2 linked regions of the Nothobranchius furzeri genome follow. The protein of the gene in region 2 interacts with the protein of the main gene of each other region in a pairwise test. Links are inferred from orthologs where the notes say so. Each region holds a gene or a part of one and is shown on either strand. Other genes may lie near its edges.

Region 1 (3,652 bases), on a different chromosome or scaffold from region 2:
GAAAAGCGTGGGATAGATGGGAGGAGGAGGGATAAACAGTCAAATGAGAAAGAATGGGAGAAAGGAAGGAGAAGGGGGAGGAATGGACTGGGCACATCTGATGTAGGAAGGAATTAGTGGTATGTGTGTGCCTGGTGTGCTTTTTCATGTGTGTGTGTCGCCGCATGGAGGAAGTGGCTCTGGCAGCTGCTGTTTCTGTGGCGTCAGTCCAGCGACACCTGACAACCTGCATCTATCACTACCTTATTGAGAAAGAGGGATAAAGGGAGAAGTGGAGGAGGGCAAAGTGTGGGGCAATGAAACGGAAAGAAGGAGACAACAAGAGAGAGGGAGGGGAAATAAAGGGCAGCAAAACAGATGCAGATGGGAAGATTTTGCATCGTAGTTCATCTCTATCTTCTGTTTCATTTTATTTCTATTTCTAGTTAAAATTCACATATTAAAATCCATGGTGCCAACAATAAAAATGTTGTGAACACATGAAAGGACAAAAGAAAGATGGTACAACAATGGTCGGTCAGGATACAATTCACACGACACTGTGTGTACAAGGGAGGTCAATTATGATGCAGTGTGTGGACAACACACACACACACACACAAACACACACACACACTTCCAAAGAGATTGCAGAGGATTTAGGAGCCTCCTATACATCCTTCATTCACACAAACACACCTCAAAAACATTTGTTGTTCAGCTTGTGTCACAGACTTTAGAAATGCACACACACACACACACACACACACACACACACACACACACACACACACACACACACACACACACACACACACACACACACGCGGATGTTTAAAATTCAGATGTGAAACACACAAATATTATTTCTGACACCATTTCTAAGTTTTAAAAATAATATTTTTATCATGTTACACAGTAGCAAACCACTTTTATTCCAGTGGGGAAACAACACATTGCATTTAACCTACATGCATATAGCTCCGAAGTGGTTCTTTATTTTCAACAAGCAAGGCTCGCCTGCTCCTCTGAAATAGCAAGGCCTTTTACGGAGTGCCCATTAAGCCAGGCAGATTCCATGTCATTAGCACATTTAGCCTTACTGCAAGTGAAGTGTCCCACTTAACAGCAGAATTAATCTGGTCCTCCTGTATCATCAGCGTAGAAGTGCTGGGTGCGAGCCTAACCAGTCCCATTAGTAGCATATATTAAAATGTAAGAGTTCCTTCAGCGTTTAGCATGTTTAGCCTTTAACTAACAAGGCCAATTATTGGGTGTCTTTTAACCCATTAGGATGTGTTTGAGCATTTAGCCTTTTCCCAAGCTAACTAGCGCCTTAATCAGCCCAGTAATGGGAAAACATCCTCTCTACAGCTGCAGTCAATAGTAATCACTGTTTACTCTGTTTCAGTGGGAGATGAATCAGCTCGGTGGGGTGCTGTAGCTGTCAGTTGGGCGCGAGAGGAAGAGAAGCATTTCTGTTGGTTTAATATTAAAGCACAGCTATGATGGTAAAGAAACCCTTTCTGAACAGTCAGGCTGAGGAAGTTTCACCTGCACCACAAATTCACCAAAAGGTTTGGCAACTAGAACATTTTTATAAAGGATTCAGTAAACTATGAGTTTAAAACTAAGATGCTGGTAGAATATTTAACAATGACTAAAGTGTTGCAGTAAAAGAAAAATTTCTAAGAGGAAGTTTTTTTTTAATGGAGACTAAACTAGCTAGACTGAAAGCTGTGAAGCTTGTTAGCAAACAGCAAACCTTACTGTCACACAAATTTAAGCTATGTCCACAGCAACACATCCTTTAAAAAATAACCCAGAGGAAGATTGTTTTAGACCCGTTTCCACTACTGGACCATTCCCGTAATTTTACCAGACCTTCACAGCATGTCTCCCTTTCACCAAGCTAGCTCAAAGGAACACATTCCCGGCCATACCTCCCTCATTTCAGGGACCAAACGAGTACCTGAACTGGGGGATGTTCTCAGAAATGGCCAGGTGGAGTCCCCGCCCAGTTCTTGTGTTTAATTCATTGGTTGCAACTCAGTAGGAAATCATTTTGTCAGATGTCACTGTAACAATCGCCATTTGTCAAATTGGAAAAGTTGCTGGTGAAGCATAATGGAAGTAATTTACATCACACGGTATCTTTCCCAGGTACCATGAAGGGTGATGTAAATGTCTGTGGACTCTATTTGACGTTGATCAGTGACGTCACTCACTGCTGAAATGGTCGTGACATGCTGACGTCCAAGCAAAGTCCTCAAAGGACTGATTTTGTATGGAGACAGAACAGTTGAGCGAACCAAGCCATCGAACATATGTTCCCTGTCACCTTCCTGCCTCCCATAAGTATCCCAGAACTCCTATAGTGGCTGGTTTCAGAACTCTTTTATGCCAACGAAGGACCAACCAATATAGCATAAGGCTAGCTCAGTTTATTGGGTCATATAGATGTGTTTAATAACGTTATTTATTTTGTCTAATCTGTATCAGAACCGGGACTTTATGGGGTTTGTTTGTCTTGCTTCACATTTCTGTTTGAATGCCTTCCTGCCTGTCTGCCTCCTTCTGTATCTATATGAAATGAAACCTGTCCTTGTGTTTTTTTTCCTCCAACATGTCTACATGCAGGGAACATTGAGTACAGCTGTCCAGCCACCAACGAGTGTGAGATCACCAAAAGGAGACGCAAATCGTGCCAGGCGTGCCGCTTTATGAAGTGTCTGACCGTGGGCATGCTGAGAGAGGGTAAGGGAAAAGGTCTCTCCCTTACCTTCTTCTATTACCTTATCATGTTTTTTTTTCTTTTTTATTATTGGTGAAATATATCTGCACCACTGCCAGTCTAAATAGTTTCTGTCATTTAAATGTAGAAAACATAATTCAGGAATGAATAATTTGATTTATTTTATTTTGCTTAGACATGCTGAGGATGAAAACAGCCTCTGACTACATCCTTGTTTTATTTGCCATAAATAAGATAATTTAAGTCCTAAAGTGATACTCAGCAGTCGTTCAGTGGTGTAAACAAACAAACAAACAAACAAGGGGTTTAATTAGCCCGTACAACATTTTGATAAAATACACTCACTCATTTTCACATTCCCTTGTTGCCTTTTGCTTCTTTCTCCCTCTCCTGTCTGCCCACCTCTGACCTTTCTACTCCCACTGCTCTTCCAACGATGAAAAGAGGTAGAGGAGTGGTGAGGGATGAAGAGGAGCATAGACAGAGAGAAGCGGAGATAGGAGGGGGAAGGTGGGAGAAGCCTCGGGGAAAGGGAGGGAAAGACAGAAGGAGAGAAGGAGGGGGGAGATTGATTTATAGGGGCAGAGGAGGGGGACCAAGGGAGGATGAGAGGCAGTGGGAGGATGGTTGAATGAGGCAGAAAGTGTGTGAGAGTGGGGAGAGAAAGGAGAGGAGAGAAGGGTCAAGGTTGTAATTGATGGGAGACCTGCCCTATGCCCCATTCCTTACAGTGGTCAGGGAGCGTGGCTGTGCCGACGCCCTGCCAGGCCTCCCTCCATCCATTGCTGTTTTCATCACTCTCTGCACTTCTCCCACTCTGTATTACTTCGTTCCTTCTGATGCTTCTTTTGTCTGTCATTCGTTCATCGTCCCCTTCAGTCACCACACAAAGTCAACAGTAAAGTACCTGCTGCTATT
Region 2 (4,160 bases):
GCATCCCCCAAAGACGACCTGCACCCTATATACCCGATTTTTATGGTTATATGGTACCATGCCGCTAACATTTTTCAACAACTGGACATCATTTTATTAATTTTCAATAATGTTTAAAGGGATATTTCCAGAGATTAACGGCAAGAACAACCCATTAGCTACATTTACATGCGCCAAATTTCCCCCATCCAATTCAAATTTTGGTTGTTCAGAAATCCCAAATCTCTGTTTACATGGACACTAACTGAAATTATCCGATGCTTTAGATTTTACCTATCACTTTAACTAAGCTAGGCTCAGCGGTACGTAACACCATTTCCTCCACAGAAGAGGGGAGCAGGATAACTTCTGTTCGCCTCCTGTCATGTTTTTGACTTGTCCTGAGCGTCTGCAGAAGCGGAAAAATGTCACGCCAAAGTTGCACACATGCTCAGTGGGCATTACCCCAAGAATCCAAATGAGTGTACATGGACGTCAATTGGAGTGTTGATTGGACAAAATCACCTATCTCAATGGAATTTCATTCCAAATGAGCTGTATCGGATCAGAATATTCCAATTGACATGTTTACGTGAATAATCTTTGATCTTATAGGGCATTCATTCCGATTACTTGTCCCCATGTAAACATAGCTATTGTCTCTTTAAGTCAAACTTACATCGAACCAACTCAAATATAGGCTACATGCAAAAATCTTTGCCATTTTCTTTTATTTCAAAAAAGTATGTGACATTTCTTACTGATACTTCATGGCTATTGTAGGCTTTTTTTTGTCCATTCCCTTGCCAAAAATGTAATTTTGCAATGCTGCAGCTCTCTCAACCGTATTATTTATTTATTTATTTATTTATTTATTTATTTATTTATTTATTTATTTATTTATTTATTTATTTATTCCAAAACACTTTTTTTTAAAACATTCAGGTGGCTGTTATAGCACTCTTAATCAAACCTGGATTGAGAATCTGAAAAAGAGTTTTGGTGAAATAATTGTAACTTGAGCCAACGTTGGGGGATGGGTGGTGTCATAGTTTTCTACAGTCACTGGTTTATGTCTTGTGTTATGGTTATTACATCCTGTTGCAACTGGTCAGAGCTGAAGAACAGATTCAACCCACAAAACGCAAAAAAACAAACAAACAGTGGCATTCTGTTTCAGAAAAACAGTTAAATCTGAAAGGTTGTTGTATTTATCTTGTTGCATAACAAAACACGATTGCGCTGTCGACTTGAAGCTAATATACGGTGTTTTATGTACCACAGGGACACTTCATACTTGCTCTTTTGCTTGTAAACGTGAGATTTTCGTCATCGAGAGTGATTGTTTTGAGTTGTTTTGTCACTTCTCTTAGGAAATACCCGGAAATACCCTAACCATTTCCAACAAAGGAATGGGAGGGAGGAGGGTCAGCCATTGACGTCAGCAGTCTGGCAACAGGCTCGAGCGCGTCCGCTTACCTCTCCTGTAATTGGTCGCTCGGAACGCATTCCCTACGTGATTGGTTGGCTCCGTGCGAGCACGGACTACATAGCTGTGGTGAAGATTCCATTTTGTTGCAATCAGAAACGGAAGGGAGAAGTGGCGTTTCGACGGCCACCGGTAACAGCACACAAGCCTCAAAGGGTGACGGATTTGTAGGAAACATAGACTTCTGTGCTTCCTACACAGTCCACGGAGTGAAATCAGAGGCTAACCACATAAATATTTTCAAAGAAAGGCTTTAACAACCAAGCCTGAGGAAGTCGGTAAGAGAAGCTGTTTTGAGTCTCGTCGCCATGTTGAGTTCCGTTTCTTTTGTTTTGGTTATGTGGCAAAATACAGCGATACGGATTGGGTAGCCGTTTGATTTGTGTTTCTAGCGTTTGTAAATGTGAAATTAGTTAACTAAAGTGCGACTTGCCATATTTTCATCGAACTTTATTAATCAAATTCATCGTAAGTGGTTGGAACAATGATTAATACTAAATGCGTTTTTATGCTATTTTGTGTTTATTTGTTCATTTTTATATCAATAAACCCTGAGAAGTTAGAAATAAGACGACGGGGTGTTGTTTTTGTCTTTGTCATGACGCATTGTGGCGTACACCATTGTTACAGCTAATTAATGCCTTGTTACATAATAAAGACGTGCGTAGCTTTTGTTTTGTATATTATTGTCGCTAGTTTGCGCATCTAAAAAACGCCTTTTCACGCATTTTTAAGGCTCTCGACTTCTTGGAGCATCGTGCGCCGAGGTGAATTGATGTTCAGCTCGGCTTCACGGGAAAACAACGCTCATTGGCACATGAAAACTTCAGACCTTGCTGGACTTCTAAGTGCAGCGAGAAGTAGACAGAGAGCTACTTCGAGGACCTGGGGACCGATCGGAGGTGAAAGATTAAAGAGGGATCTCAGCCACGTCCACTCTCTCACAACAAAGAGGTGAGAGCTGCCTGGCTGGGGGTGTTTTTGCTCTGGGTTGTGTGTGGGGGAGGGGCAGCGCAGCCCTGGACGTCTGCAGCTCCTGCACGTAGCTGCTGCAGCAGCTTGTTTTTTTGTGGAGGGTGCAGTGCAGAGTGCCTTTTACGCAATAACTTTTATTTTAAAAACGAAAATGGTAACGTTTTATAATTGTCTTGCAGGTGACAGGTAGTAGTGAAACATGGGAGGTGGAGAGAGGTACAACATTCCAATTTCCCACCCGGATCGCCCCAAAAAAGCCCATCAGCTTGGCAAGGCTAAGCAGAGAAGCCGTGACCAGAACGGAACCACAGCAGCATCTGTAGGAGGAACGGGGGCCCTTCACCACCACAGCCACCGTCGGAGCGACAAAGGCCCTGCCTACCACAGATCTCCAGAGGCATGGCAGGCCATGTCCTTGGAGAAGAATGCTTCTGTCCGGTTTGCCACCAACTACGAAAGCTGGGAGGGTGCAGTGTCTCATCTTAACACGCTCCTGTCAACCCAGGGCAGCCCGAGCTATGCAGGCCCTAAGTTCAGTGAGCCCCCCTCACCTAGCGTGTTGCCCAAACCCCCGAGTCACTGGGTGTCTTTCCCTATAGCGTCCTGTGACCACAGGGAGATGATGGCCTTCGAGCTCAAAAACCTGCTGAAGGTGCAGGCTTGAGCTGAGTACACACACTTCACCTAACTAGAGCCAATGCTTAGACTGTGACTCTGTTGAGGCATTTGCTCACCAGGAATGCCTCAAAGCTGTAATACACTTAACGTTTTAACAGACATCATCCGTAGCTAAACGTGGACATTTAAAGCAGTGAATTGACGTTGAGTCAATTTCTTTTAAATAGACTTTTAAGCTATTACAGCTTTGCTGCCTTGTTGGTTGGGCATGCCTTAAATGGAGCCAGTTTTTGTAAAACGACGACAAACTGGATTCTTTTTACCTTTTTTTTGTTTTGTTCTTTTTAGAGTTGGCTGTCCGAGCAGATTGAGTGTTCTTTTTTCCCCCCCAAATAGGGGTTGAACTATAGGTCAGGTGACATCCATTACTTTTATGGTCCATTTCTGTGGGCAGCTGAGCTACTTCACTGGTTTTGGTTTTAAGGTTAAAGTCTTTGGAGGGACTTCCAAAGTTTCGGGTGCTAAAGCGAGTTCATGTTTGTAGCATTTTTTTAAGAGCCCCCCCCCTTTTTCTTAGCTAATATATATACCTTGTTTGGAACGAAAAAAGGCACTCAACTGTAGTTCTGCAGGGAAAAATGATATTCTATTGAACGTGAGCTGGTGGATACGGTGAAAGCCTGACCTCGAAGGCTTGAACGAGACCATAGCACATGGACTTCAGACCACCAACTCCTGTATCCCTTTTTTATTGCGCTGTGCGCACACGCACTATAGGAGTTGAGTGTGCCTGAAGTCCGCAACACTATCACAGCATTATTTTGTACAAGTCCTTTTTGATGTGATTGAAAGATATGTGAAGCGCTGGGTAACCAAAGCTTTTTTTTTGTTGACGGCCCCCGTGTGGTTGGCGTGATTCCCACTCCTTTTCTCTTGCCAGCCCCGGCGGTGAATGGGTTAGCATTCCCTAAACATTCGTCTGTTTCGATCAGTACTGTTACTGCCCTTCAGTCTCTGCCTCATCACGACGGTGGCGCAGCTCCCAACGCGCGGAAGAGGGCCTCGTTTTTACGACGGGGTCCAGTTGGGTGCGCGCACG

Evidence for each region.
Region 1: the proteins of pnrc2 (region 2) and esrrga interact in binary tests that used the Homo sapiens proteins (3 or more experiments, as listed by UniProt). The link is inferred for Nothobranchius furzeri from reciprocal best matches to the Homo sapiens genes PNRC2 and ESRRG.

Annotation. Positions count from the first base shown.
Region 1 is NC_091749.1:33,730,700-33,734,351, forward strand, and holds part of esrrga (estrogen-related receptor gamma a), read left to right. Parts: intron 1-2,619; coding exon 2,620-2,748; intron 2,749-3,652. UniProt on the Homo sapiens protein: Orphan receptor that acts as a transcription activator in the absence of bound ligand. Binds specifically to an estrogen response element and activates reporter genes controlled by estrogen response elements.
Region 2 is NC_091745.1:69,954,702-69,958,861, reverse strand, and holds pnrc2 (proline-rich nuclear receptor coactivator 2), read left to right. Parts: upstream 1-1,558; 5' UTR 1,559-1,746; intron 1,747-2,203; 5' UTR 2,204-2,422; intron 2,423-2,622; 5' UTR 2,623-2,642; coding exon 2,643-3,107; 3' UTR 3,108-3,648; downstream 3,649-4,160. UniProt on the Homo sapiens protein: Involved in nonsense-mediated mRNA decay (NMD) by acting as a bridge between the mRNA decapping complex and the NMD machinery. May act by targeting the NMD machinery to the P-body and recruiting the decapping machinery to aberrant mRNAs.